Oryctolagus cuniculus: one gene and its partners. The protein of the gene in region 5 interacts with the protein of the main gene of each other region in a biochemical or structural test. Links are inferred from orthologs where the notes say so. Each region holds a gene or a part of one and is shown on either strand. Other genes may lie near its edges. The genes, in order: TNIK, YOD1, UBE2E1, SQSTM1, NEDD4, TRERF1 and HNRNPUL1.

Region 1 (3,922 bases), on a different chromosome or scaffold from region 5:
CAGTGCTCACAGTTTAAATGTCACATGCATTGCAATACATTATTGCCCCCGGTCCTCCTAATTGTGAGGCAGGAAGTACAGATGACAAGCTGCATCTCGGCAAAGTGAGACAACTTTCCCCAGGCCACATAGTCAAAGAACTTGACCTCAAGCACACTCCTTCCTGTTTCCATCCAGGTCTCTCTATGTTAAAACGTAAGCAAAACAAGTAGAAAATGAGGAGAGATGGGAACAGAGCTTTAAAGAAAAGATAATCTGGGAATCTCAAATATAAAGTAGCTCATATAAAAAAACAGTTCACTTGTAGAACACTGTGGAAGGACAAGTGCAGTGGCATTGTGGGTAAAGCCACCACCTACAGTGCTGGAATCCAATATGGGCAACAGTTCAAGTCCTGGCTGCTCTAATTCTGATCCAGCTCCCTGCTAACACACCTGGGAAAGCAGTGGAAAATGGCCCAAGTGCTTGGGTCCCTGCACCCACGTGGGTGCTACTGGCTTCCGATTGGCCCAGCTCCAGCCATTGTGGTCATTAGGGGAGTGAACCAGCAGATGGAAGATCTTTCCCACCCCCCACCTCCCGACACTGTAACTCTGCCTTTCAAGCAAATAAATAAATCTTTAAAAAAAAAATCCAAGCAGAGAAGTCTTTATTCGTAGGGTTTTAGAATCCAAAAGGCTGATGGGAAACAAAGAAGTATTGTGGCCCTGAACAGATCATCATAGTTTAGAACTATGGCCAGATGACGAGTATGCATCAGAGAACAGGATGGGGTGTCACAGAAATCAAAACACAGTCTCATGCAACACTCGTGTAAACAGGGCATTAGAGCATCCTGTCACTACTGCATGTTGGTGCAAAACAATTTTTAAGTATGTGGGAGGTTAGTAGGGGGTGGCCACAAAGTTAATGCCAGGCCCTGATAATCACATGCCATTTTGAGTAATAGGGGAAAGAAAAAAAGGAACTTCCAGCATTTAAAAAGTGAGGGGGAAAAAGGACTTTCAAATTCCATCGGTCCTTTACAAAGCAAATCTGACTTCCATTCCAATCCAGAGATGGCAGACATAAAGAGCAGCAGAGTCTGTCCTTTTAATGCAGACACTATTGTTCCTTTCCAGCTGAAACCTGGAAAAGTCAAGCCAATGTGACTTTCAGGACAGAAGAAAAACATGCAGGAAAAGGAGGGAGGGAAGCCTTGAACAAGATTTGCAAATGACTGAGCATTGCCATTTGTCTTTACTGCACCCAACAAATATTAATGAGAAAGATAATGAGAAACGCCACGATCACTTCTGGTTTACAAAATGAAGAAATCAAAACGCAGAGGATGAAGCGTAACATCACTTCGCTGATGAAAAACTGCCGGTTTGGCGTGAGGGAGAGAAATGGTTGGGAAAGTAATGAAAGAAGGGGGGAAAAGCCCCATCTTGACAAGACGGTAGAGCGCGGAGTTAGAAAACAGGTGGTGGGGCAGCTTCCAGAAGACGTTGCAAGGGGTAGGGAGACAGCTGGGTGGTATCTTCCATGGCATCTGGGGCAGAAAATCCTGACCCTGCATCACAGGACACAGTGACACAGGCTGCCCACTCTTCCCTGGGGAGGATATTTTCAAGCTTACATCCCGATGAGGATACATTTGAAAAAAGAAAATGGTACCTTTTTATTCTACCAGCAGAGTTTAACCCAGCTTAGCAGTTGCTAGCTAAGAGACTGATAAGCTAGGAATTCTATTCCTACCTAAAGTCTTGAAACATGTTACTATTTGGCTGCTCTGAGCCCCCTCACCCTCCCTGGTTTAAGAGATCTGTAAACAGTGGTTCAGAAGAGGAACAGTTCATACATTGCTGATGAGAAGCACTGAAAGACAAGAAGATAAGGATCCTCACATTCATTTTTGTTCCTGTTTTAATAAGTGGGTGTTAAAAATGATGAATCAAACCGAGGCAGACAATTATTTGTTCTTATTAGCACACCAATTGCTCCAATCCCAAAGATAGCACTGCCACTCCTCCTACCATCTACATGTTTCATCTGTCTTCTCAAACATGACCGCCCGCTCGAAGGCTTAGGAATCATTTCATGAGTGCACTGATGGTTAGTTCACAGCTGGATTCTGTTAACCACACCCAGGAGGAGAGGATGTAATGTGAAAGAAGGCTCCCACGTATGTGTAGAAGTGCATGAAGCTCAAAGAAGGAGTGCCAGCTGCTAGGAAGCCAGGAACCTCGCAAGACGTCACCCACCAGAGGCAGCCCACACTTATGGTGGCCGGGGACCCTCACATCAGGAGTGCTTGATGACACAGCCATGTCGTTTGCATGCCCAACGGCTCCGTTTCTGTTACCGCTAGGAGCCTGGCCAGGAGGCAGAGGAGGTGGTCTAGGAAACTGTTTGGACGACATCTGCAAAGATTTACCCTCAGGGATGCCAGGGCTTCGGAAAGCTCGGGAGCTGTGCACTGCTTCTGAATAGACAGGATAGGCCAGGAAATTGAGTGACGAGGACAAATAGCAACTAGAAATCAGTGAATTCAAAGTGGACAAGTTCCAATCGGAACGTGCTGGGCAGAGGCTGGAGGAGGGAAGCAGACACTGCTTCGGGCTTTCCCCCGTTTTCGGGGGTGTGTGTGCACGCGGGAGCAGCCCAGAGGAAAGAAGAACGGCTGGGATGCTTTGCAAGGAGTCGTGGTCCTCTCCAGCGGCATCCGCAGGCGCCCCTTTTCTAAACTCACGCCTGGGGCTGGCACCACTGAAGGCCGGGTGGTCAGGCACCACGCAGAGATCACTTAGTGACGCAGCGCTTCTTAGAAGAGGTGAGGTACTTGTGGAGACGCATGAACTTACGCCCCTCCTGTCCTGCGGGCCACGCGAGTCTCTGAGGCCCTCCTTAGCTGCAGTGAGGGCCAGCTGGGGGCTCGTCACTTTGGAGATGTTGGGGGAGGACACACAAATGACCTTAGATCCTAACTCTCGAGTTGGGCTACATCCTTGCGAGCGAGATCGCTTTGGGGATCTCACTGTGGTCCTTGACGTTTCCTGGGGCTTCAGTTGTTCGTCCAAAACAGGTCTAATAGGACGAGCTGGCCCATCTTGCTTCCGCGAGTGACGCTCACCCAGGAGTCTTGATCTGGAATCACTGATTCCTGCAGGTGCTACCGGCATGGCCTTCACAGAGGCTAGTTTTTCAGGTTTCTGAACACCTGCCACGCTCAGGAGCTGAGGGTCGGGCTTAGCTGAAGGTTTCAACTTGGCATGGCTAGACAATGGCTTAGCAGTGGAGGAAGGCGGCACATCTCTGCCAGCCAGGAAGCATGTCAGCTGCTGTTTAACAGCATAGTGATTCTGCTTAGCTGGAAGAACAGATGGATTACTAAGGGGTCGTTGCTGTACCTGGGAGTAGGATTACAAAATTGAATTATTGATCTAAGAGAAAGAGGCAGCTATTACAGACACAGGTAAATATGGATCATGTTTACAGATTATAGGGGAAAGTGATAACAATGTTCTTGACCTTAAACCCAAAACATTTTCTTTATAGATTTACTTTTTTTAAGTCTTAAAAGTCATTTTCACTAGAGTATACGATTATTAAATATATATAGTGCATTTTTTAAGAAACAGTCAATTTTTAAAATTCTACCTCCTATAGACCACCTTCATTAACACTAGGAGAATATCATTTCAAACATTTTCTGTACATATGTAAGATACGATAGAAAAACAAAGAAACATTCTTATAAAAATCAGATTTCATGTAAAACATCTGGTTCTGGCAATCTTGCAGTCTAGATAACTTGAAAACAGCTCTAGCTAGAAATGTCTATAAATATATTAGATAAAAATATAAAATAATCCAAACATCCCTTTAAATGACTAGCTATGCTCACAGGAAAATGATGGAAATCCCAAATAATGACAGA
Region 2 (4,365 bases), on a different chromosome or scaffold from region 5:
CAAATGGCTGCACATCTACGTAACTAGGAAGAAGCAGAAGTCAGAGAAAGCTGAATAAGGCAAGGGTTTTAAAACTTTCATGTTTTGGAAGAGAAACAAATTCATTTAACAGCATTATCTCAATTACTTTGAAAATGTTTCAAAGTACAAGATCACAGATTAAGCAAAGTGCTAATTTGCAGAAATATGGAATTATTCAAGAGTGGTAGTGGAGGGACAGGGCTGGCACAACACCAAACACTGTTCAGGTATGCAAAGTCTTGTAAAACACAAGCCGAAGCATAGCATTCTCACTTTGGATGAAGATGTTTTTTGGAGGAAGTTCTCGTGACAAAAAGCTGAGAAAATTACATCCCTCCAAATTTTCATGTAAAGAAAGCAAAAATCAAATACTGGAATTTCAAGGAACTTTGATTAAAAAAAAATTACCCTGCTTAATTTTAAAATTGTACCCAACATGACAAAGACCAGCACAGGAAGTGCATTGACACACGAGGCTGACGTCCTTGGAAGCCGCAGGGAGCTGCTTCAGGCACCTTTTCCTCATACATTCTACTTCACACACCAGAAATCCGCAGCAGGACACAGGCGCTCCTGCTGTCAGCGACATTCTCTAGGAACGCACTCATCCCTGTAAAGATTGCTTGTTACGTACTCAGAAGTGGTTAAGTACACACTGATAAAGTCTACCAAATGGCAATATAAAATCAGTTTTGACAATTCTGAGTATCTTCGTTTGATAAATCAATTCATAATTTAGAAACTATTAACTCACTCAGTTGTTAAAAGGACTCAATTACTGGAGACACTGGTACACGTCCGGGGCCTCATGAGAGGCTGTCAACATTACTCGAAATGTGGCGTTCTCTTCTTCTACAGGTGAAAGCTGCTGCGTGCTAGTTTATAATACTGAAACTCAATCTCCAGCAGGTGGGGGGCCACCTGTTCTGTCACCCCCGTGGAAAGAGGGCAGGCATCACCACTGTAGACACACATCTGTAAACTTGCACACTAATTTTAATCTTAACAAGGAATTTCAGTGTCTTAGTGGTTTCAAGTTCAAGGTGTGGTTCAAGCATTGTGTCCTTTGTTCTTTAGGGTCAGGAATAGCTTATTGGAAAACCCAGAGCCTTCTGGATCTGTGAGGTAGTAGGCTTCCACCCTCATCATGCATAGATCACACTTCTCCAAAGTTGGTGTGGCCTGTCTCCTTGGCATGCTCTCTTGCCTCTGCCTGTCCAGTCAGCCCCTTCTGACACACCATGCATCGCAGGGTGAAGCGGTTGACGTCGGTAAACTGTCTCTTTCTTCTAGCTTCATCTGCTAGTTCCAGTGCTTGTACGAGGACAATGTCATCGTTCGAGGAGAAGATGGTCAGAGGCGGCGTGTCTGGATCCGGGAAGTCTCGCTGCAGCGGGTCGTAGTGGATGCCATCGTAAATCAGCAGGACCCTTTTGGTATACCCCGCGTCTTCCCCGAAGCGATCGATTCTTACCGTCTGTGTATCCACTACACAGATTTCACACTGGTAAAATTTAGACAAGATGGAGATTTCAATCGCTCCTCCCCAAGTATCATCCCTTTTGATCCAGTCACAGTACTCTTGATTTGTTTTTCCCAGTATGGCCTCACTGTAGAAGTCTGGATCGCTCGCTACGATCTGTGCTATGAGGCGTCTCATCTCAGGGGCGCAAGCTGGATCCAGGACGCCTCCTTCAACCACATAGTACACGCTGGTGAAGAGGCAGGAGTTGTCTGCTGGGACCACAGTCCTGGAAAGCACAGGCAAGGTTTCCTTGACATAGCTAGGAGCACCGTGTTTTGAGAATGCAGGTGAAGCTTTGGGCCTGGTTTGGTCTTCTTCAACGATCAGCATATCGCCTGTTAAAAATAAAACAGATCCAGAACTGCAGAGAAATGACAGATGAGATTAGCCAAGTCTGTAAATTACAAATAGAAGCTGGGGTTACGATGGAGAACACTGCTGCCCCTAGGAACACTAGAAACACCTGACCCCGACTGTTCACAAAGGTGAAAACAGAACAGACTTCAAGCTGCACCCCAAGCAAACGAAGCCGGAGGCCTACACCGTCACACTTCCTTAAAAAGATACATTTAAAACAAAATTGCCTGCGAAGCCTTCGTCCGGAGGGTGTTTTCCCTAGACCGGCCGCTAGGGGGCTCTCGCCCTCCTGAAACTTGGCCTCTCTCGCCCCGCTTGTGTTTACAAGGTCCCGGATCCAAGAACAAAAAGCTTTTAATTACAACGTTGATGTTCAAGTTTTAACACTGGACACAAATAATTACTGTCGGTTAGGACTTGAAAGAGCTCTCCGTGGATGTTTACAAGCTAACTCTACGAGGCGTGCACCTGTTAAACTTAACTATTCAACGCGGGGGACTGCAAAAACGAACCAGGAAAGCCAAAGGAATAACCCCGGACCCTTCAGACCGGCTGGCCAACGAGCGACACCGGGAACGAGCGCTCGGGACCGAGAGGCAGGCCCTACCTTTTCCAACTTTTGCGGATGCACGGGGAAAACAAGGCTGAGCTAGCTTCAGGGAAGCACAGAAGGCAGGCTGGGGAGGGCGAACTCCTGGGCTCTGGGCTTCTCTTCCAGCCCTGTGTAAAGGCACGGAGCTGCCGGACACTTGGCCCGGCCTCCGTCAGCGCCCCCAGCCACCTGCCTTGCCTGGGTCTCCGTCCCCGCGCGCGCCCCTCAGGCCTTCCCGCTGGTCCCAGCTCCGATCCCTTACCTGATTGGATGGGCAAGTCCCCCAGAACGGTGTCCCCGTCGCTGAGATCCAGGCACTCGGGCGGAAAGCCGACGAGGATTCGCTGACCGCCGGGGGCGATCCCGGTGATGGCGGCAATTTGGCCCTGGAGTTCTCGCACCCGGGTTCGGCTGGACAGCCCCTGCAAAACATGGGTGCCATCCTTGGCCTTGCAGCGCAGCCGCCACATCGTGTCGGACTGGCCGCCCACAGGCCAGACACCCGCGGGGCCAGCCTTGGTGGCGGCCGCAGGAGGCGAGACGCCGCCGGGGCAACCGGCCGCCGGGTGGACTCCAAAATGGCCACCCTTCGCGGGGCCAAACATCGCGAGAAGTCGGCGCGGGCTACAGTTCTCGCGACACTTTCCGCCTCGGCCCTTGGAGGAGAGCGAACTCCCTTAAAGTGGTCGCTGGTGTTGCAGGGACGAGGATGCGCCCCGTATCCCTAAAGCATCCCTGGCCTCGCCGCGCTCCGCGCCGGCGGCTTATAAGGACAGCGCGCGGGAAGAGGGCGGGGAAGCAGTTCCCGGAGGGAGTCGGGTGGAATGTCGGCGGCCAGTGATTAGGCCGGCCGGGGCCTCCGCCCGACACGGCTCGGAATGCTAGGAATGGCCAGTGAGTCAGCGGGGCTGTCAGACGCCATCGGAGGCTCGTGGCCGCCCGCGCCGGGGCTGAGGGGCCGGAAGCCCGACCCTCCCACCCCGGCGGCAGCAGGCGGCCGGCCCCAGCCTGGGGGGCGCAGTGTGAGGAGGAGCGAGGGGCCCGAGCTGCCTCTGCAGTTCCCGGGCGGACAGACCCCGAGTCGGCCGCGTCCCCGCCTTCGGTGCCGGCGGTGGCGCGGAGAGACTCGCGGTGGGAGCCGCGGCGCCGCTGGGTGTCACGGCGAGGAGACAGTGCGGGGTCAGGTGGCCCTTCCCCACGCTGTAGGCCTAAAACCCAGGGCTGTGCCTGGCGTACAGCGCAGGGGCACGGGGAGGGCCGCTGCCACTCGCCGAAAGGGGAGATAGCTACACGTTCGAGCTGTTTGGGAGAATGTCTTCGCTCCCGGGTGGGGGGGGGGGGTAGAGACGCCCCGGGATTGAGCTCTAGCCCAAGAAGTGCATTTGCACTGCTCTTTATCCAGCCCGGACCCAGAGCGGCAGGGCTCCTCCTCTACAGCCTCCAGCATCAGCGGGACGAGGGCAGGCCCCTGGGACGTGCAAACTCACCGCCAGCGCCGCCGCCTCCGAGTGGCCACGAGGAGCCCCTGCTCTCTGCAAACACCTTTCCCACCCAGGCCCCTGCCGGTGCCGTGGAGCGCCTCGGGCCTTCAACACGACCGTCACAGATGCTGTCGCGTGGGCGGGGCGGGGCGGGGGCGGGACGGTGGGTGAAGTCCAGCCGGGCGCATGGCTGGGTCCGGGAAGCCCCCGGTCCCTCGTTAGGGTACACGGTCTGACCCACGGGGAGCGGCACGCGAACACTCGGGGCGCGACCCTCAAGAGCACGGTGGACGCCGACTCCCGGCGCCTCTTAGAGCTTTCGCTCGGGTGTGCGGATCCCACGCTGTCCGCCTGGGACTCAGGGATGAAAGCGTTAACCTCTGCGGACG
Region 3 (4,520 bases), on a different chromosome or scaffold from region 5:
TTGGGGGAATGGGAGGAGTTAAGGAACGGCTTGTCCAGCCAGGCTCCCATCAGCGCCGGCCAGAGGCATCAAACCAGGCCGCTGACAATTAGAACCATCTTGCCACGGAACCCCAGACCCCCACGCCATGTAAAACAAGCACAAGTCACTCCCTCATCAGCCCATGGGTAAATCACCAAAACACTTGACCGAATTTTCAGTGACAGAACAAACTCTGCACGTACAAACTGCAGGCTCCCTCCTCAATGGACAGACCTACAGCCCCAGATTCCATCTGATTTCAGATTCTTTAAGTAAGGTGTCTGAACTCAGCACTTGGATTCCTGATAGCCACTTTAATGACCAGCCGAGAACAGGAGGATTGATGAGTGGGTGTCTGGGGGTTCCCAGGAACTTACTACAGATTATTTTAAGGGTCAAGGGCATCACGGGTATCACTCAAAGACAGCGACAGGGCTAACAAGTGGTCACCTCCAGAGACTTGAAGAAGAAACAGCCACTGCTTGGCTTCAAAGGTGAAGCAACATTTTTACAGCCTAAGAGCAAACAGCATGAAAAAACCATGCCTCCCCGAAATCTGGTAAGTAGACATTCTTAGTAGCAAAACTGAATCCTCAAAATAACCATTTTACAACCATTATTGATCCATTTGCTTCAACCCTCCAAATCAGAAAAATCTCTTTAAATTCCTTCAGAAAGCATGTCTTCACCTACTAAATCTTTTTTTAAAATAAAACATGTATTTATTTAGAAGGCACAGGAAGAGAGAGGTCTTCCAGCTGCTGGTTCATTCCCCAATTGCTGCACAGCCATGCCTTAGTCCAGCCCCAGGCCAGCAGCCAGGAACTCCATCTGGGTCTCCCACAGGGGTGGCAAGGACCCAGGTATTTGGGGGTCCTTTATCCACAGCCCCCCGGGAGCAGTAGCAGGAAGCTGGTGCTGAGACTCCATCCCAGGCACCCCAATATGGGATGCTGGTATCCCAAACATTATTTTATCCCACTTCGCTACAACACCAGTCCCATCTACTACCTACTTACCTACCTACCTACCTATCTATCTATCAATCATCTATCCATTCATCCATCCATATATTTTACCACCTAACGAGAGCCATTTATTCCTTATGCAATTTGTAGAGAAAACACTATTAAAAAATATCATCTGTGCAACAGGTGACCAAAAAGGAAAATGGTCCAAGAATTCATTTTGCTAAGAGTTGCCTGGGCAGCTATTAGTATGAAGAACCCGATGACAGCTTTGGGGAGGGGCACAGATTACTGATTAATAGGACAAGCCAACTGAAACCAGATTCGAGGGTCACCAATGAAAGTGATGCAGATTCTTCCAAACTTGAGCAAGAAATGGAGAGAGAGGCAAGCCGCCACGGTCGCAAGTGGACAATAATTAAAAAGAAAAACACAAGCAGCGAAAGCGACAGTCAGGAGGACTTTCAAGGCCACGTCTTTCATTTCGGGGGACACAGCCCCGCGCACACCGAGCCGGCCCGCATTGGGAGGCAGGCACTTGGAGACAGGGAGCCTGCGGAAAAGCGGGCACGTACCTCTTGGCGCTGGTGGAGAGGAGTTTGGAGTTTTTGCTCATGCTGACTTTACTCTCCTTCTTCTTGGGGGTGTTTGTTTCTTTCTCGGTTTGCTGGTTGGAGGACGAAGATGAGGAGGAGCTGGTGCTGGCCCTCGAATCGTCATCCGACATAGCGAACCCCCCACCCACCCCGCGAACAGCCCCTGCAGCGGGGAGGGAGACAGAACAGAAACAGACAAGCCATGCAGGCGGTGTAAACAAGGCGGCCGGTGCCGTCAGGGGCGCCCGGGCCAGGGTGCCCCCCGCCGCCCACCGCCCAACACGCGCTCCCCCGAAGTCCGCAGGCCCAGCGAGGCTGGTGCAAGTCGGACGCGGCTTGCTTGTTTTGGGCCCAGGTGGGGGCCGCGGGAACAGGGGTCTGGGGCCCAGCGAGCTGCCCACCAGGCCAGAAGGGGAAGCCGAGGCGGCCAAGCAGGGCCGGGCCGGGAGGCGAGGTCCGGAGGCGGCCGGCCTCGGGGCTGTTTTTGTCCGCTCTCCGGGGGTCGCGGGGGGTCGGCGGCCCAGGAGGCCGGGGCGGGGGGTGGGGGGAGGCCACGAGCGGAGTTTGGCGAGGTCGGGACGAGAGCAGGGGCGGGAAGGAGTGAGAGAGGAAGCCGAAACGGGGGGCCGGGGGCGGGGAGCGGGTGCCCGGGTGGGGGCAGGGGCGGCGAGGCCCGAGCGCCCCCCCACACACACACACTCCCGCGCCGCGCCCCGACGCCCCTCCCCGCCGGCCTGGCCCTCGGTCGCCCGCCCCCCGGGGCTGCGCAAGCCGGGCCGGGGTCCCGGGCACACGCCCGATCGCCCCCCGCGGAGGGCCAGGGGAGGCTGTGGGGGGGGGGGGCCGGCCTCCGCGGCGAGGGAATAACAATGCGCCCGTCGGCCCGGGAGGGGCTCCTCTCCGCCGGCCCCCGTCCTGGGGGCGGGGGGGGGGGGGACACACAGCGGGGCTCCCCCGACTCCCCCTCCCCCGCTCGCGGCCCCCTCGGCGGCCAGTGGGGGGCTCCCGGGGCCGCGCTGACAGTTCGAGCCACAATGCCCCCCCACCCCCCGCCCCGACGCGAGCGGCCCGCACCCCACGCGGCCCGGAGCCCCTGCCCATCCCCCGCGGGCGGGCCCCGGACCCCTGGGGGCGCCCCCGGCCGCCCCCCTCCCTCCTCCGGCCCCGCGCCCGGCGGCCCGGGCGGCGCGGGCGTCCCCGAGGCCCGGGCGGCGCGGCCGGGGGGCGGCGGACGGCGGGGGGGATCCCCGTACCTCTCTTTGTGTCTGGCTCCTCCGTGCCGCCGCGGCGGCTGCTGCTGCGGCTGCGGCTGGGCCTGGCCACTCGTGTCTCGCTCTCGCTGGGAGAGAAGCGGAAGTGCAGCAACAGCAACTATTAAACAGGCAATGGCTTCCCCCAGCCACACACGCTCGCGCTCCCCACCCCTCCTCCTCCTCGCCTCCTCCTCCTCCTCCTCCTCGCCCCGCCCCCGCCGGCCCGCACCCACCCACCGCGCTTCCCTGCCCCCCCGGCCAGCCCTCCGGGGGGCGCACAGGGGACCCGGGGGACGCCGGCCCCGCGCCTCCGCCGCGCGCCCGGGGAGGGGGCCACGGCTGTGAATTGCAAGTGGCCCGGGGACCCGGGTTCCGGGCGGCAGAGAGGTGGGGGCGCCGGGAGCGACTGGAACTAGACGGCAGAGGGGGTCGCGAGAGCAAGTTCTTCCCGACCAGAGGAGTTGGGGCGGGGTGGGGGGGGCTTGCTGCTGGCCAGGACTTCGGACCAGAGCCGACCCCGGGAAGTCCTCCTAAGTGAGGCGAGAAACCCCAGCACGGGGTTAGCGTGGGGTTGCTTCGCTCCTGGCCGTTTACCTGCCCGGAGCGAGGTCAGCCCGGGCACGCACGCCTGGGAGCAAACCCCAGCCAGGAGGTACCTGCTCCAGGCACGAGGCACGTGCGATTCTACAATGTCAGATTCTGCCAGTCACTTTTTTTTTTGGGGGGGGGGGTGGAAAGTGGTCCGGTTTTATAAAAGGGATACAGAGGATTTCGTGACAAGTGAGCCAACCTGTAACTGGGGAAATCACGCACGAACTGAACTAGACCGCACTGAGAATTGTTGCTGTCCGCGTGCGTTCAGGTATCTAGCCTGACTTAGGGAGAGTGGATGGAAAGTTCTGGGGACCGCTGGACTTGCTTGAGCTACAATATAAATGCTGTTCAAACCCTAGTTTTAGAATAATCACAGGCATCCTTCTAAATTGTTCCTTATTTCGCCTTTTTACCAAAAATCATTTTTTTACTGTCTTAAGCCATCAACGCGATTTGGCGACGTGGGTTTTGTCACTTCAGTTGCAGGGAACTGAAGAACTGTGTGCTGTCCAAACACAACAGTTGCTCGCACACAGGGTCTTGTACGTAGAGAGCCCACTTAGACTTCCGTGGGCCGCTTTAAATTATTCAAATTGCCCTCATTTCCCGTGACAACAGAGGCCTCTGTTACCAGAGGACAACACAAAACCTAAGGCCGGTGACATAGCCAGAAATCAGGAAAACAGGTCTACTCACCACGCAGCTGAACTCCTTTTAGCTTTATCAAGACTCATAAAGTAATTGTGCACGCTTCTTGCTCAATCCTTACCAGGAAGCGACCACAGCAGCAGCTGTTGGAGGTTCCAGCAGCCCAGAGCCAAAGGAACCTCACGGGGCCTTGATCAGGGTTTGGGAAAGATCCCCAGACATAACCTTGCTCAGTCTTTGGTTTCAAGAGCCGGGAAGAGCACATAAAACGCTGGCATTTGAAGACAAAAACAGGTTGTATGCTTTTTGTATTTCTGTTGAAAAAAATGTAGATTCAAAAGAAAACAGTGAGCAAACAGATGAACTCAGGAAAATCAAGGCTGTTATTAAAATCGAGATTTCCTCTTATGAACACTTGGAATTCCGATGCTCAAAAACAC
Region 4 (4,609 bases), on a different chromosome or scaffold from region 5:
TCAACGCAGCACGTAAGCACCGCAGCGGGGGCCAAAGGAGCACTGGTGGCCTCAATACTCAACTTGCCACCTTCTTATTTATTTTTGAGACATGGTAGACAAGCAGAGCTCCTATCAAGGGCCGGGACTGGGCTGGGCAGAAGCCAGGAACTCAATCCAGGGCTCCCATGTAGGAGGTGAGGACCCAATTACTTGAACTTTCACCTACCCCCTGCCAGCATCTGTCCTGGCAGGAAGCTGGAGTCGGGAGCTGGGATCCAACACGGGCCCCAGGTATCTTAATGGGTGAACTAACCACTAGGCCTGATGCCCACCAAGGCCACTTCTTTAGGGGTGGGGCTGGACAGATCGGGGATAAGAAGGGAGCCTGCCCATTCACTGGACAGGAAGTGTGCCCGCCTGGGCCTGAACCTGGGCCACGGTCACACCTAAAAGGCAAAGTTTCCGCGTACACTACACGGACAATAACAGTGCCCTGTCCCTCAGAGGCCCAGCCCGCCAAAGGCTCTGGGCTGTCTGCAATGTTTAAGTGGAGATGAGCCCAGAGGCCTGCTGCTTTCTCCAACGAAGAAAAAAGGCTGAGTCCTTCTATGTTGGCTTCCGTGATTTTAAAGCATTGCCACACAGACCAGACCAGACCGCACCGTGCACAGGCTGCAGGCGGGGCCTGGACTTGGGCACCAGAGGGCAACATCTACCCTCAGAGCAAGAGTGGCACTTTTGCGAAACAACCCAAAAGTCCATCAACTAATGACACAAACACGATATGGCATATCCACAAAAGAAACGAATACAGATGCAGCCTACACCTCTGATGAACCTGAACGCATTTCCCTAAGGAAAGAAGCCAGACACAAAGCTAAACTGTACAACCCCCTCTCCACCACTGTCCAGAAGAGGACGCCCAGGAGAGAAAGCAGCTCAGCGTTGCAGGAGCTGAGGGAGACAGGTAAAAGGCATGGGGTTCCAGTGGAGAGGAAGGGGTTCTCATGCTGACTGCCAGCGCCTGGCCCCGCTCTCCAGCCCCAAGTCTGCTCAGAAGTTCCAACTGGTGAATGTGTTAAAGACCACTGCATCGGGGCAGGCATTTCTGCAGCGGCTAACTGGCAGCCCGGAACACTGGCAGCCCATATGAAAGTGCCTGGTTGGAGTCCAGGCCACTCCACTTCTGATCCCGTTTCCTGCTAATGTGCACTGGAGGAGGCAGCAAAGGATGGTTCAAGTGCCTGGGTTGCTGCTACCCTCCTGGGAGACACTGATGGAGTTCAGGCTCCTGGCCTGGCTGGGGCTGGCAGCTGTAGCCATTGGGGAGTGAACCAGCAGATGGTAGGTTGGGGTGTGTGTGTATGTGTCTCTCTGCCCTTTCAAAATGAAATAAAATTTTAAACCCTTGAATTATATACTTTAAATGAGTAAATTTTATGGTATGTGAATTACAGCTCAATAAAATTGTCACCAGGAAATTAAAAAAAAAAAAAATGCTGGGCAAGCTACTGAGGGCGGTCCCAGCCCTGCTCCCTCCCAGGGGCGGGCCTTGGCCGAGGACCTCCCTCCCACACTGCTGTCCCGGGACCCCACCCCCAGCAGCAGCTACCGGTCTGAGCAGCGCAGCCAGAAAGAGCGGTGGCTCCGGGCTTGTCCCCACTCTGAGTTTGTGGAGAACGTTTCGACATCGGCCGTCTCCCCACTGCCTTGTCCCTGGGCGACCTGCGGCCTACCCCGGGCTCAAGGGCCCTGCGTCCCCCAGCCGCCCACGCCCACCACCCACTTTCAGGGCTCGCTGAACGCAAACCTGGCGCCGGCGGGCCCAGCCCCGGCAGCAGCAAGATGTCAGTGTAACCCGAGTGCCCGCCTGACCACCTTCTCAGCCCAGGGCCAGAGAGGACGCCCCGGCGCGTCCTTGGCGAGATCTGCAACATTATGGCGGGGAACAGGAAGCATCTAACGACCCAAAGTCCCCAGCCCGCGGGGCCTGATCGCCTCGGCCCCTGAGGGACAGGGCCTGGGTCACTGGGCTGGCACCCGAGGTGCAAGTGGGGTACGCGCAGGTCACCGCTCACCCAGAGCGCGACCAGCACAGCATCCCTTCCGACGCAGCCGGCACCGACTAGGAAAGGGCAGCCCCGGACCCCGGCCACCCCCCGGCCCGCTCACCGCGGTAGTGCGCCTGGAAGCCGCCGGGCCGCAGCGCCGGGAACAGAGCGGCCACCCGGGCCAACAGCCGCTCGCAGGGCCCGGGGCCGGCCGCTGCTTCGGCCTCGGCCTCCGGCTCCGGGCTGAAGCAGAAGCTAAAGCGGCGGATCTCGCGCGCCGCCTCCTCTTTGCCCAGGAGGTAGGCCTTCACGGTGAGCGACGCCATCGCAGCCGGAGAACGACGAGCAGCTGCGCAACCGAGGGAGCACCGGAGGAGGCGGCGGCGGTGGCGCCAGTGGCGCGTGGCTTTTGTAGGGCACGCGGAAGCCCCGCCCGACGTGGACTCCTGGGGGCGGAGCCTGCACTCTTCGGGTGCCGCCCCCCACCGCCGGGGCCGCCTCTCGCGAGTCTCCCTGCCAGGGCCCCGTGCCTGCTTGCCCCTCTCCCCGCTGCCCTTTGACATGGTCTACCGCTCTCAGTCTGTCCCCTCATTGCCCCCAGGGCACCGGAGACCCCCAGAGCAGGCCTCAGCATCTGTACCTCCTGAAAGGAATGGGCTGGGGTCCTGTCCGAGGCCCCTCTCCGGCTTGGGCCTGGCTGTGACTCAGCAGAGCAGGTCCCTGGTCATCAGCAGGGGTTGCCCAGCACAGGACAGAGGAGGACACACAGAGCCCTCTATCCCAGGAGGCATCTAGGCTGCCCAGTGGGCACCACCAGCCGGAACCAGCTGGCTGCTAGGGTACCCTGCTGCCCTGCCATGCGTGACCCCCAGAAGGCAGCCCTACACCAACCACAGCCTCCTGCATGAGCGTCCCTAGCTGTCCAGGGCCGGCTGGCCGGCTCGTCCACTAGCGACGGCAGTCAGTCACCAAGTGCTGACTGCAGCTCAAAAAGACACATGGACGCCCCCAGCCCTGTGAGCCCAGCAGGCTGAGCCTGACGCCCCAGGCCCTTCCTCACCATCACCAGGAATGGTTGATCAGGGGTCCTTGTTTTAGCACAAGAACTTCAGCCATGGGACAGAATAGCAGCAAGCGTGCTGGCCAAGTCTGATGAAAAGAATGCACCTGACAGAGTAGGCGGGCATCTCCATCAAGAGCTGAACCCACCTGCTTTCAGACTGGGGTTTCTATGGATACGGGTATAGCCCTCTTTCTCCTCTCCCCTCCCCTCCCCTTCTGGGACACGTCTGGGGGAAGGGCTTCCAGAGTGTGGAATTCCTGAAATTCCTCCCAGAACTTCATCAGCAGTATTATTGGACCTAATAGCCACACACACACACACACACCCCCCCAATGCAGGGCAGGGATTTCTCTAAGCTGCCCCTGGGAAAAGGCTGGGACCCACTCAACAAGGTTATAGAAGGAGACCAAGGCTCTTTTTTTAAAAATGTGTTTATTTATTTTACAGGCAGAGTTTTGGATAAAGAGAGAGGTCTTCCCTCTGCTGGTTCACTCCCCAAATGGCTGCAACAGCCAGAGTTGAACTACTTCGAAGCCAGGAGTTCCTTCCAGGTCTCCCACGTGGGTGCAGGGTCCCAAGGACTTGGGCCATCCTCCACTGCTTTCCCAGGTCATAGCAGAGAGCTGGATCAGAAGAGGAGCAGTCGGGACACAACCGGTGCCCAAATGGGATGCGGCGCTGCAGGTGAAGGCTCAGCTGCTGCGCCACAGCACTGGCCCCACCTGAAACTAAGACTTTTGAGATGTAAATACTGCTCTGCTTCCCAGGCTTGCTTCTGTGGTTCTTCCCTCACCCAGCCACACAAATTCCCATTTCTTCCCTCTCACAGATGCAGGCTGCCTAACAGACCTGTCAGGGCAGGGGGCCAATGCAGCAGGTGCCTGCCTGTAGGGCCTCAAGAGTGTTGGCCACAAGGGCGGCCAAGGGGATGGGACCAGTCACCTTTCAGCTGGGAATCCAGAAACTCTGCTTCCTGGGACCAAAGTGACCTGTCTGCAAGGCCTGGGGGAAGGCGCTGGGAAGGGAGGTGTGTCACCCCCCCCCCCAGACCTCCCAGGCAGGTCCTGTGACTAAGAGTCAGCCCTGTTGGGTCAAACCCCCCCCCTTTCAGGTCAAGTTTGTGGGAGCAGCTTGGGAAGCCCAGCGATGAGGGTGGGCTGGTTGGATGGGGGTTAGGCAGATGCACAGGTGGCCAGGCCACAGGAGTAACGGGATCCTGCCCAGCGAAGCCAGCCAGGCTCCCGTGCCAGGAGCAGCCTTGGAGAGGCTGGTCCATGATCCCTGCCGCTGTGAGCCTTGGGAAAGTGTCCCTGGGCCTGCTGGCCCCTCTGCCCCAACACAGGGTCGGGAGTCCCGCCAGTGAGGGGCGTGCTGGGCAGAGGCTTCGGCCTGCGGCAGGTGCCAGCCAAGCGTGACTCAGCAACAGCAGCCCGAGCGCCACGGAGCCCAGGGGTGGGCCGCCCGGCTCCCCTGGGTCTGAAGGCGGCCTCAGGTGGACCAGGGCTGTCAGGGA
Region 5 (3,922 bases):
CCTTTAAAAATACCCTTTTTCAAAAGCACCAACAAAACCAGCTTATAATATTGCCAGAAAATCAACTGCATTAATACTTCTATTACATTAATTATTCTTTACAGATTAATTATTTAATTAAGTGTAAAATAAATTTGCAACTTGTATCAGGTTCAAATCGACAGCTTTTAATATGTTTCTTTACAGTGTCACTTCATTTCTTTCTGTAGGGGAAAATAGTTGAAGGGATTATAATCTCCCAAAAGCTGATTTTAAACAAGTTTTCTAAATGGAGTGAGCAATTCTAAAACATACATCAGAATCTGAAATCTGATCTTATTTCATCCTCAGTAAGACACTGCCTATATTAACTTTGGGCATGGGCAACAATGATTATATTTATCAGATCTCTAAAGACAGAAAACAAATGAGCTATTACTTCACATCGACCTAAAACTACTTGTCCAGAAGTTGTTTTTTTTTCTGTTTTAATCTTTAATACAGATACCGAATGTTACATAAACACAAACAGATACGTCCCTCCCCCCACAAAAAGAAAAAACCCATTATGTCCTGTCATCTAGAAGAGGTTTAGTCAGAGAAAAATTGTAAATTTCCTAGACTCTGGCAAGAGCTTCCAAATACAGAAACTCAAAAATCTATTTGTGTTCAAAATACTTTAAATACTTTGGAAAGGCCATATTATATAAAGAATTGTTTTGGCTAAGATTTACTAGAGTTAAAATCACTAGTATAATAAAGCAAACTGTCAAAACAACAAATTATTAAGCTAAGTAGAAAATTATGGGAAATGCCTAGCAACTGAAACCAAATTCACACATAGAAAACTCAGAATTTAATATTGTTGAAAAGAATGAGCTATATTTTAGAAGGCAGTATTAACTGGTGGCTAAAGAAAAATAGGGTGGAAACAAAATTCCTGTGGTTGGGGTCTATACAGACGCAGATGCCACTTAGTTTTCCTCTGCTCTGCACATGCAGTATGGTAGTTTCATCAGTGATGTTATAAATACATATATTTTATGGAAATTTTTCTCCTACAGTCATTTGTAATAAGATCTTCACACTTCACATAGCTTTTTGTTTACTATCATTTAGAAACATTCTGTCTTACTTCATTTCACAATAGTAAGGGAAGGGAGGACAGCAAATGAGCATTTTTGAAAGTAGGAATAAAATAAGGAGTTATTTAATAAAATAGTACGCCACTTGAGAAAAAAAATAAACCAAGATACAATGTTTTGAAGTAGGTTGTTATTTAAAACTTGCTGTTATGCCATTTAAACATTTTATTGCTTAAATCACTTAGGAGAGGTTTAAAAAGATATAGGAAATATATATATATATAAAATATACAGGAAACTGCTAAATTAACAAAGTGAGAAAACTATCAGAGATTCTTTGGATTTATAAATATAATGTTTCTGACTATATAATACTTGGTAGCTAAGGATCAGGAAATGCTAACTTAATAAATGTTAACAAAATATTTCAGTAAGCTATTCTAGTGTAAAATTATCATATACCAAGACCAAAGGAAACTTACCTTACAAGAATTAGACAGTTCACTTGTGACATCTCTACTGTCAACTTCACCTTCATTTCCAGATGCAAACTTTATGAGTAATTGAGATGGTCCCCCCTTAGAACAACTGTGCTTAAGGCTGGATAAACAGGCAATATTTGGATAAGTTCCTCCCAATGAAATACTCCTTTGTAAAATGGCATGGCTTTTGTTTATCTGTGAATTTGGTCTTTCCAACTCTCCACTGACATTTACTTGGTAATCTACATTTTGGGAGGATGGCAAACATGCAGATGTCTTGTGCACAAGCTTGCTACATTCTGAATCGGAATTAAGCTTAACTCCCGACTTCTCTGGTTTACAATGACCACTCGTAGTTTTGCCATCTACTGTGGTCACCTTGTGTTGGGTGAAATGCACTGAAAGGCAAGAATATCCTTCAGGCGACTTCTCACAGGCAGTCTGTTTCGGACTATTATTTGAAAGGACAATTTTCTTCTGCAATGAGCCCTTCCCATGAAGCGACCGGATGTCTCTCACTTCTCCAGCAGTGCAAGTTGTTTTAGATAACCGAAGTCCATTGACGGCTGTGGAAAGAAATCCCTTAGAAATAGTACCATCTTCATTATGTGCAATTTCATTAGGAGACACGAGCAACTGGTGAGAAGTTTGATAGGAGCCTTTGCTTGGAAGAGTACCTGTGGTTGTTGGAGAAGCTGGTGGGGTACTTGAAGGACTCCTAGGAAAAATCACTAAGGATGAGCAGCGCTTGAGTGGAATTTTCGGGTTCCTGCTCAATGGCAATTTCATAATCTCTATTCCAGGCTCCAAGTCATCCTGGACAAAAGGAACAGTACTTGTACTTCTTGAAAAACTTTCACAGGGAGTAGTATTCCTGTTTGGCACACTTCTGTTGGAGGTGCTGTCAGAATATAAATTTCCACCAAAAAAAGTATCATCGCTTGAGGGAAAAGTATAACCACTACTGTCGCTGATGACACTGTTCGTGTACGACCCTCCACTTGTGATACTTGCACATGACCCATAATCACTACCGGTGCTGCTGTAAGATCCATTATCACTGACTGAAAAGTTACTGAGGCTACCACTGCAAATGGCAGAACTGCTCAAAAGGCTGCCATCACTCACAGCACTTAGTTCATTATCAACCACAGCACTGCTGTCAATGTCATCCTTCAAGACACGAGCAAACGAAGACACATCATCACCATCAGCCAAGACACTGCAAGACGGAAGACATCCACTGTACCTTGTTGGCTGCAGCGAAATCTGTAGACAGCTGCTCTTTTTATTAACATTTTCAGATGCAGGAACAGATGATCTTTCCTGAGCCTTAACGCTTTCCTTTATTAATGGAGCTAGGGCAGTCTGTCTGGGAGTCAGCTTCATTTGCACCACGTTAGACGCTGAAATCCGTGTTGGTTTTTTGAAGCACATGTGGACATGGCTATCCAAATCATCTCCGGAGGTCTCTGACAAAGGGTAAGTATTACTTCTTCTGGCTGCAAAGTGCAATCGTAAGCTTTGTGCCATTTGTTCTCATTTCCAAACATGTTAAGGGCTGAAAGTCATAACAAAGATCTCTGTCGGGAGACAGGCTAGAAGCAGCTGCACCGCAGCAAAAGAAAAAATCATTGGTGGTGCCTGAAAGAGCCACGAAGCAGTAGCCTTTACCCTCAGTAAACCATTAGATACCAGATATCACAGGAGGAAAAAGACGGCCCATTCCTGAGACTGACGATTCCAAAATGTCTTGAATCGCTTGTAGTCAAAATGCCTTCACTTACAAAGCACTCGATTTCCAGCGACCTTTAAGCTGAGCTCAGCTGCAGCACACTGACTCAAACACAGCCAACCTTGTTTCAATTATACCTTCTCCAATTTGCATGAATGAGTAACACAAGAACAACAATCTTCTAGCATTTCAAGTCGAAACAGTGTTTTTTCACCCCAGCTCTACTAAATGAGCATTTAACTCTGTGAATCACAGTGCATTTACCTTCTCCAGCAGTTTGGCCACTAATATTTTTACCCAAAGGTATAGAATTACAGGAAGTTGGTAGGAATGAAAGCCCATGTAATTGAGTATCAAATCAAAGATTGAATTTCCAAATAGTAGCCATACTAGGAATCTAGTCAAGTTAGTTAATGTAGAAAGAACCCGGGCTGTTAACAAACGTTTAACAAGAAAATTCAAACAGTTGTATAAACTTGGAAACACCCAAACTTGGGGAGTGAATTAAACTTTTAGCATTAAATCAAACAGATAAGTACTTCAGCTTCCAAATACCAGTTATAAAAAGCGAAAGCTTAAGGATTACATTCTGAAACCAGTCTGGTAATGCTATTGTAAGAATGGAGCATAGGTCTGAGAAA
Region 6 (3,922 bases), on a different chromosome or scaffold from region 5:
CCGCCACCCCACGCACACGACACCTGTGAGGAGGCATCCTCGGCCCACTCACTCGAGCGACACAGCAGCACCCGCGGCGTGGGTGTCAGGGGCGTGAGGGGCAGCTGGGGGTGGGCGCCGGGGCCGTGGCCGTGGCCGGAGATGAGGACGTTGCTGAAGAGCCCCGAGCCTTGGCGCACCGGGCTCAGCATGGGCGGCGGCGTGTAAGGGGGCAGCTCGTGCGCGGGGTCGAGGAGCAGGTGGTCGCCGAGGACGCGCGGGGAGCGCAGCTGGCTCTGGTACAAGGTGGCGCCAGAGTAGGAGGCGGGGCTCGGGTTGTAGGAGGGCGGCGGCGGGATGAAGAGGGGCTCGGGCCGGTGCCGGAACTTTTTCTTCTCCTGCACCGTCTTGGGGGGCTCCTCAGCCTTGGGCGCTCCCGACTGCAGCTTCCTGGGGACTTCCTGAAACGGGAGGGAGGATGGGATTGGAACCGTAGGCTCCGGCCCAGGGGGGCCATCTCCACAGGCGTGCGCGGCGGGGAAGGGGGCTTCCGCCCGGCCCCTCCCAGCCCACCGGGCGACATCCACTTCAGGCAAAGCGAGCTGTGGCAGATCCGCTAAGGGAGAAGACGTGGGCTATGGAAGACACCCCTCCTGTCTGGAGGGAGCTGGGGGTGGCAGGACTAGCGGGTGGGCGAGAAGCGGGAACCTGCAAGCTCAGAGCAATTACTCGGGGAGGCTGGGGCGCAGGAGGAGGGGGCGACCCGCCCTGGGCCCTGCGAGACGCTTCAGGGCCGGTTTCTTGTTGCTTCCCATCCCGTGGACCTGGCCGCCTCCCGCCTCAGCACCCCTGGCTGCAGCTCGCAGCCCCACTTCCTGTCAGCCGAGCGGCGTTAGCTCGCGGGGGCGGCAGCAGCATGTTGGGGAGACCTGCCTCCTGGATACATGTGTACTATTAAGTAAACATGTGTCTGTGCAGAGGAAGCCGGCGTGCGGGCGCCACACAGACCCGCTGGGTGTGGCTGGAAGGGCCTTGGGGTTGGGAGAGGGGGTACCTGTGGAGAGGGCCAGACCAGGCTGTGGTGCCCTCCCAGGCCCTGCAGGCCAGTGGCCAGTCACAACCAGGCTTCCTGGGATCCCTGTGCCCAGGGGGGCTCCTGAGGGAGAGGCAGCAAGGAGTGATGGGACGGGCTGGACAAGGTCACATGACTAGCTGTCTCCAGACCATGTGACCTGGCCCGGCAGGCCCTCGGCTCTCCTTCAGCACTTCCTGCTTCTCCCTCAGCTTTCTGGCCTCCAGCAGAGGAGCTCAGGGAAGCAGGGAGCTGGGGCTGGGAGGAGGGGGCCGAGCTGCCTCAGACTCCCTGACCCAGGAGGAGGTTCTGAACTTGACCTCGCCCCCAGGCAGCTCACCTCAGGCCAGAGCAGGCCAGCCTGTCTCCTCTCTCCACCAGAGGGCTCCTTGGTGCCTGAGGCTGAGGAGAATGGGGGGAGGGGAGCGATCCTGAAACCTGACACCCTGCTCCCCCTAACTGTGGAGGTTCTCTAGGTAGAGGCAGAGCTCACCCTGGGGCCTGGACTTCTGCCCCGGGGCCACAGGTCCCCTTGGGGCTCCCTCTCCTCTACCCTCCTGTCTTGTGACTGCAGCTCTAAGTTCTCCAGGTAGGACTCTGAGCACCCAGAATACCACAGGTGCACCTGCAGCCCACCAAGCTAGTCAGACTCCTGGGGAGGGGGGCAAGCCCTGGCCCACAGGGCAGGGTGACAACACTTCAGAGCCCACCCCCTTCAAGGTCAGGGGAGCAAACTGGGTCTCAGCTGCTCCCTCCCAGGGGGCTAGGAGCAGAGTGGGGATTGGAACTCAAGGCTCCTTCCCAGATATTTTAGTGCCAGGACTTTGCTCATCTTGACTTAGCCCCACCTACATGCCGCCACTTCAGCCAATCCCCTCCCTGCTGGATCTCCCCCACCCTTCCACTAAGCTGAGCTCATCCCTTCCTTCAAAACCCTGCTCAGCAATCCTTGAGCAAACTCCCACCAATGCCCTGGGTGCTCCCACTCCCTAATCAGCTCCCCAGGCACGGAAGCTCTTCCACTCACGATGTGGCTGTGTCCCCTTAAAGCCATCTGAAGTTGAAAATACCCCCAGTCAGAAATAAAAGGAGCGCCCCTGACCTGCCAAGCGTCAGAGCTCAGCGACACAGCACACACGAGTGTGTAGCTTGCTGGGAGCTGGGAGCCGAGGCTGCCACCCGACACCAGTAGAAACACTGGAACTCAAGCATCGTAAAGTCAGGGACCCTCTGGGTTCCCTGTGTTCCCATCAGCCCTGTGCAGGGCATGGGTTTCTCTTCCTCTCTCATTGCCGTCTAGAATGGGTGGGTAGGTGGGTGCTGTCAGGACCCCTGATTGACAGATCTCCAAGGGTACAAAGGGTCTCTGGCACCACATCAGCACCCTCCCCGGGGCAAAGGGGGAGTCTGGAAGTGTCAGTGCCTCTCTGCCTACTGCTGGCTCCCAAGTCCTACCAGCTTATGGGACTCGTCGGGTTCTCCATCAGGTTCCTGTCCTGAGACCCCAGCGCCACATACAGAACCATAAAGGTTCTGTCTGGGCTTTGCTAGGCTCTGAACTACCCTCCCTACCCCTTCTCTGGCCCAACCCTACCACACTGCCTCCTGATAGCCCAGCAGCCACCTGTCTCAAAGGACAGATAGGATTCAACCAGCAACTTTGTGGGGTGGGGGTGGGGGCGGGTCTGATAAAGCCAACCATGTAGGTCCCGGATCCCTTGGGGAGGTTGTAGGGGAAGGCTCTGCCCCTGAGCGGAGTTTGGCTGCTTGGGTGAGCACTGAGAATTAGAGAGACAGAAGAACTTAATAGCAAGTGAGAGACACAAATCTCTTTGCTTTCCTGAGACTGGGGGTGGCTGGCTGGCTGTGAAACTACCTGGGGAACATTCACGAGTTAGGTCCTTATAGGTATTTAAGCAGGTGCATGTTGAGAACGTTAAGCAGCTGGTGAGGCTGGGCATCAGAATGCATGGCAGGGCTACTGCCTGGACGCCCTGCTGTCTCAGGGGCTACCTGTTTGGTTGCTGGATTTGGGTAGATTTGGAGAGGTCTGGTGATCTTGGGGAGGAGCCAGGGCCCTGGGCCACAGCTCTGTACTATCTGGGGCAGAAACACTTCCACAGTTAACAGGCAGTCTGGCTGTGTTGGTGGTTGCCAGCTGAATCATCACCTCTGTAGACACCTTCAGGTATCTCCAAATCTAAGCCAGGCTGTTAGCCCGGAAAGTGACAGGTGTTTAATGGCGGCCACCAGTGTGGACGAGGGGGCTGGGCCGGGAGAGGCTCAGGCCACGAGCCGACCCCATCTCCAGGAAAGCAAAGGGATGTCCCAGCCCAGGCAAGGGGGGGGGGGGGGCGGTGCGGAGCAGCAACTCACGGCAGGTGCGTGGGGGGCAGCCCCTGGGGGTGAGTGTGGGGGAGAGAGGGTCATCCTCACGAGCGTGGGCATCTCGTCGTCGGACACGGAGCTGGCCGGCTGGTCTCTGGCGGAGGGGGCGGCAGCGACGCTGTTGCTGAAGCCCTGGCAGCTGGGCTTGGGTGCGAGAAGCTTGACAGGGACAGACACGGGCATGACCATGGGTGTGAGGCTTTCGGCCTCGGGAGGGAGCTGCGGCGGCGCGGGCGGAGGCGGAGGCGGCAGTGGCGGCTGGGGCGGAGGCGGCGGGGCCTTCTCTCCTTCCTCCTACACAGACAATAAAGGCTTTGATCCTTGGCTGGCAGCAGCTCTCACAAGGAGGGGGGCATGCACTTTGCTCTTCCTGGGCCTGAGTGATGCCAGCTGGCGGGAGACAGGGCCATGCACTCTACATTTAAACAATCTTGATCATGGACCATGTGTATAGCACAATATTCAAAAGTTTTTGGTGGCTGT
Region 7 (3,922 bases), on a different chromosome or scaffold from region 5:
CAGCTGTGCGGTTGTGTGCCTACTGGGGCCTGACCTCCTGAGAAAAACTTGGCCAGGCCTTCACTACATGATCTAGCCCTGGTTACCATCCTCCGCGGGTCCACCTACCTGAAATGAATTTCACAGTTGATTTAACCAGCAAACTGAGAAAAATACAGGCAGGGAACAGTTGCTGGGGTATCCAAAAGAGGATGCTCAGACTGCTGAACAGTACCACTGCTCTGCTTTCAGAACCATGAGGTCCAGTTGGGGCCATGTCAGATTAAAATTCTAAAATGCCCTCACAAGGAGACAAAGTGAGGCCAAGGGTTTAAAAAAAAACCCAGTCTTCCAAGTGAGAGGAAGTTGGGTGATGCATTATTGGTGCAGCCAAGCTGGCAGAATAACCACGAGAAGCTTTTGGGCTAGCCTGTGTTCGTTACGTGGTGCAGGATTCTCAACATTCCGTGAATGCAACTTGGTCCCTGGGGATTCCTCTCTGACAAGCCAACAACCATCACTGGTTGTTCACCAAGACCCTGTGACCCAGCAGCTCAGGCTATACACACAGAAGACACTTCAGTGAGGCCACAGGATGGGGTGTCACACCCTTGTACCAAGGATGTGAACAGCAGTCTGTATTTGCCCACTCACAGACTCTTACGCATCATAAATCCAAGGCTTATTCACAGATCCACAAATATGGAAAATAAGGAAACACTCTCTGCTCCTTGAGTATGGCTTCAGGACAAATGTCAAGTGTGACGTTGCACAGGCAACAAGCATGTGGAAGTCATTATTCTGAGACAGGAATCCTTAACCATTTTGGGGTCACTCATCCTTCTGAGAATGCTGAAAGCCATGGACAATCTTTCTAACTCAAAACTGTCTCGTTTCTTTAAAAAAGACGTATCTCTGTGCATGTGCATATACAATATAAAACAAAGTATTCCATGTTCGATTTCAAAGGCTCTTAAATCCTTTGATGTTAGCTGAAATGTCAGGAAAAAATACATGACTTAGGTTTTTACCTGTCAATCATAAAAACTTGGTGAAGGAAGCTGGGAAATGCCTACTCGCAGAGGAAGTAATCGTAATCACCAGTTACTGCGTGCCAGGCCCTGCTGGGTATTGCATGCCATTATGACCTCCACTTTACAGACCAGGACACTGAGACCCATAGGGTAAAGTCGGCTGCCATGGGTACATAGTGAGGAAACAGCACAGCCAGGATTTCAGCCGCAGCCTGCCAGGTTCATAAATCCACACCTCTTCCATTCTATTAAAGGGCTCTCCCCTAATGATGTCCTTTGGAGCTGCTGCTGAGCCAAAGCTAGCAGGCCTGGTTGCAGCTCCAAACCCGGCAGACTGGGCCTGGGAGCTGGGCAGAGGCCAGACTGCATCCTCGTGTATGGCTGAACCCTGGCCAGCACCACAGCCGAAAAGCACTGAGAAAGGAGAAGGCTGGAGGGGAAATTTTAGGTACCCAAGAGGCCCGCCCCCTCCCAGGACATGCTGCCATCAGTGAGCACCTGGTCTAGGATATAGTTGCGTTTCTTGCGGGCAGCGATCTGGATGAGGCGGTTGAGGCACTGGGTGGCCTGCTGGATCAGGACGTCCCAGCGGCCAGCGTAGTTTCGCTGTCGGCGCAGGCCCATCACCTGAGGGTGGGAGAGGTGAGGAGTGAGTGGTCCTAGTTGCAGGGCAGCACTGAGCAGGTGGGAGGTGCGGAGCGCTGTCCTTACCCGCATCTTATCCATGATGGCATTGGTACCCAGGATGTTGTACTTCTTGGAAGGGTTGGAGGCTGCATGTTTGATGGCCCAAGTGGTCTTGCCAGCAGCAGGTAGGCCCACCATCATCAGAATCTACAACACAAGATGCAAAGGGATGCTGCATGGGGACTGGCACTGCCTTTGTTGGCGGTGACAACAGAATACTCTGATCTCATGGCTGCCCCGGAAAGTGGAGGCAGCAGCAGCAGCACCGGCCTCACAGTGCTGCAGCTGCGATTCAAAGGGGTCAGGCTGGTCAGATGCTTGGCCGAAGGCCTGGCGAGGGATGAGTGCTAACTCAACAGCTGTCATCACCAGCACTGACATTTTGGTCAAGGCAGGAAAAGGGACTCCGACAGGGAAAAGCCCCAGAAAGACTGTGCTCCAGGGCCGGTCCCTACAGTGGGCATGAGAAGTGGTACGAACTTATTGCAGTCAGAAACAGGAAGCGAGCTGTACACACACGAACAAGGATCACTCCTAATCAGTACACTCAGAATCAGCACACTCTAGATGCAAACTAAATGCCTCATAAGGAGGGAGAAGAGAAGGCAGTTTAGGATGTCAATAAAAATGATGTGCAAAGCAGGGCTTTCCTGTGGTGGGCTACAGCTCACAAGCACTAGTGAGGGAGCAAGGCAGGCTGTCACAATGCTCCAACCCTAATACCCTAAGATCTCAGTCACATGTGTACACCGAAACAGGCTCCCGGCATACCAAAGAGAATACCAAAACTCTTCAAAGTGAACTGATGAGCAGGTGGTGGTGGAGAGGGGAAATTTTTTTTTCCTATTTTCTAGAATAAACTTAACTCACACATACAAAAAAAAAAAAAAAACAAACACTATTTAATAACAAAGATCAGGGCTGGTGTTGTGGCATGGCAGGTTGAGCTTCTGCCTGCGATGCTCGCACCCATATGGGCACCAGTTTGAGACCCAAGCTGCTCCACTTCCAATCCAGCTCCCTGCTAATGCACCTGGAAAAGCAGTGGAGGATGGACCAAGTGCTTGAGCCCCTGCAGCCACATAGGAAACCAGAAGAAGCTCCCGGCTTCTGGCTTAGGCCTGGCCCAGTCCCAGCCATTGTGGCCATTTGGTGAGTGAAACAGTGGATGGACGATCTCTGTCTCTCTTCCTCTCTGTAACTCTTTCAAATAATAATAATAATAATAAAAAAATCTGGAAAACAAAACAAAACACAATAAAACCCAGAAAACAAAAAACCAGGATCCCCAGGACAGCTCCTGGAGCCTACTCATCTCCAAAGCCCGCCTGTGTCTTCTGCTCTCAGACACCCTGGGTGGCAGAGTGCACCCCCAGAAATCGCCTGCTGTCCTTTCTGCTGAGGCAAAGCCCTCCCTCCTTTTGGAATCTAAGACTCAGGTAGATGACATTAGCCCCTTCCTCTTTAGCCTAAGCCACAGCAGCTCCACCCATCTCCCACTCAGAGCACCCTTCCACACGAAGGGCTGAGGGGCCCACTGGGCCCAGTCACTCTCGCAGTGAGCATGCTCCTTCCCCACACCCGGCTATTTAGTTCCCCTCTGCCTCAGCAGCTAGGTGGCTGTGGGAGGCGGACGCCAGTGCGGCCTTGAGTCTGCTCACCTCACATTCTGCCTTGCTCTTTGGTCCAACGGTGCCGCGGATCCGCTCGCTGAGGGGAAGGTGCTGGATGAAGGTGAATCCTGGGAGGACAGAACAGTAGGGCTCTGCCCTCTGTCCGAAGTTGAACTCCACGGCACAGTTCTTCACCAGGACATGAGGATACAGGGCCTGACCCCCCAGGGCCTCCTTCTGGATTCGGAAGGCAATGCCCATCCACTTCCCATTCTTGGTGAAGGAAAGTTCCACATCGTTTCCACATTCAAAGTCCTGGGAGAAAAAGTCAATGACAATACTTGCCAACTCTCAGCACAAGGCCCTGGGAGCCACAGGTGGGAGAGAGTTGACGCAGGAGATGCAGGGAGTGGAAACAACAGCCAACTTTTCAGACTTAACTGAATTCCTCAACATTCAGGCACGCTAGACAGCACCAGGGAACAGCTCAGACAATGTCCAGCCCCAAACCCTCCTTGCCCAAGACCTGGAAGCTGGTGGGTGAGAAACAAGTGACTTGAAGAGGCTCTAAGGATTTGACTCTAGTTCCCCCGGCAAAGATGAAGGAAA

Evidence for each region.
Region 1: the proteins of NEDD4 (region 5) and TNIK form a complex in vitro, tested with the Homo sapiens proteins (2 studies listed by BioGRID). The link is inferred for Oryctolagus cuniculus from reciprocal best matches to the Homo sapiens genes NEDD4 and TNIK.
Region 2: the proteins of NEDD4 (region 5) and YOD1 form a complex in vitro, tested with the Homo sapiens proteins (2 studies listed by BioGRID, with this or other methods). The link is inferred for Oryctolagus cuniculus from reciprocal best matches to the Homo sapiens genes NEDD4 and YOD1.
Region 3: the proteins of NEDD4 (region 5) and UBE2E1 form a complex in vitro, tested with the Homo sapiens proteins (7 studies listed by BioGRID, with this or other methods). The link is inferred for Oryctolagus cuniculus from reciprocal best matches to the Homo sapiens genes NEDD4 and UBE2E1.
Region 4: of the proteins of NEDD4 (region 5) and SQSTM1, one has a biochemical effect on the other in vitro, tested with the Homo sapiens proteins (2 studies listed by BioGRID). The link is inferred for Oryctolagus cuniculus from reciprocal best matches to the Homo sapiens genes NEDD4 and SQSTM1.
Region 6: the proteins of NEDD4 (region 5) and TRERF1 interact in a test that uses a peptide from one of them, tested with the Homo sapiens proteins (2 studies listed by BioGRID and IntAct, with this or other methods). The link is inferred for Oryctolagus cuniculus from reciprocal best matches to the Homo sapiens genes NEDD4 and TRERF1.
Region 7: the proteins of NEDD4 (region 5) and HNRNPUL1 form a complex in vitro, tested with the Homo sapiens proteins (2 studies listed by BioGRID, with this or other methods). The link is inferred for Oryctolagus cuniculus from reciprocal best matches to the Homo sapiens genes NEDD4 and HNRNPUL1.

Annotation. Positions count from the first base shown.
Region 1 is NC_091435.1:109,161,012-109,164,933, reverse strand, and holds part of TNIK (TRAF2 and NCK-interacting protein kinase), read right to left. Parts: intron 3,393-3,922; coding exon 2,247-3,392; intron 1-2,246. UniProt on the Homo sapiens protein: Serine/threonine kinase that acts as an essential activator of the Wnt signaling pathway. Recruited to promoters of Wnt target genes and required to activate their expression. May act by phosphorylating TCF4/TCF7L2.
Region 2 is NC_091444.1:22,175,371-22,179,735, forward strand, and holds the start of YOD1 (ubiquitin thioesterase OTU1), read right to left. Parts: upstream 3,101-4,365; coding exon 2,758-3,100; intron 1,882-2,757; coding exon 1,178-1,881; 3' UTR 1-1,177. Other genes in the region: PFKFB2 (6-phosphofructo-2-kinase/fructose-2,6-bisphosphatase 2), read left to right, coding at 3,374-3,389, 3,898-4,365. UniProt on the Homo sapiens protein: Hydrolase that can remove conjugated ubiquitin from proteins and participates in endoplasmic reticulum-associated degradation (ERAD) for misfolded lumenal proteins.
Region 3 is NC_091435.1:159,712,444-159,716,963, reverse strand, and holds the start of UBE2E1 (ubiquitin-conjugating enzyme E2 E1), read right to left. Parts: upstream 2,660-4,520; intron 2,413-2,659; coding exon of another isoform or gene 1,987-2,412; intron 1,901-1,986; coding exon of another isoform or gene 1,821-1,900; intron 1,749-1,820; 5' UTR 1,717-1,748; coding exon 1,565-1,716; intron 1-1,564. Other genes in the region: basic salivary proline-rich protein 2-like, read right to left, coding at 1,821-1,900, 1,987-2,412, 2,660-3,250. UniProt on the Homo sapiens protein: Accepts ubiquitin from the E1 complex and catalyzes its covalent attachment to other proteins. Catalyzes the covalent attachment of ISG15 to other proteins. Mediates the selective degradation of short-lived and abnormal proteins.
Region 4 is NC_091437.1:67,652,802-67,657,410, forward strand, and holds the start of SQSTM1 (sequestosome-1), read right to left. Parts: upstream 2,958-4,609; 5' UTR 2,597-2,957; coding exon 2,155-2,596; intron 1-2,154. UniProt on the Homo sapiens protein: Molecular adapter required for selective macroautophagy (aggrephagy) by acting as a bridge between polyubiquitinated proteins and autophagosomes.
Region 5 is NC_091443.1:78,614,202-78,618,123, forward strand, and holds part of NEDD4 (E3 ubiquitin-protein ligase NEDD4), read right to left. Parts: 5' UTR 3,080-3,922; coding exon 1,547-3,079; intron 1-1,546. UniProt on the Homo sapiens protein: E3 ubiquitin-protein ligase which accepts ubiquitin from an E2 ubiquitin-conjugating enzyme in the form of a thioester and then directly transfers the ubiquitin to targeted substrates. Specifically ubiquitinates 'Lys-63' in target proteins.
Region 6 is NC_091436.1:127,683,765-127,687,686, reverse strand, and holds part of TRERF1 (transcriptional-regulating factor 1), read right to left. Parts: intron 3,734-3,922; coding exon 3,428-3,733; intron 441-3,427; coding exon 53-440; intron 1-52.
Region 7 is NC_091449.1:13,323,887-13,327,808, forward strand, and holds part of HNRNPUL1 (heterogeneous nuclear ribonucleoprotein U-like protein 1), read right to left. Parts: intron 3,629-3,922; coding exon 3,362-3,628; intron 1,848-3,361; coding exon 1,725-1,847; intron 1,641-1,724; coding exon 1,512-1,640; intron 1-1,511.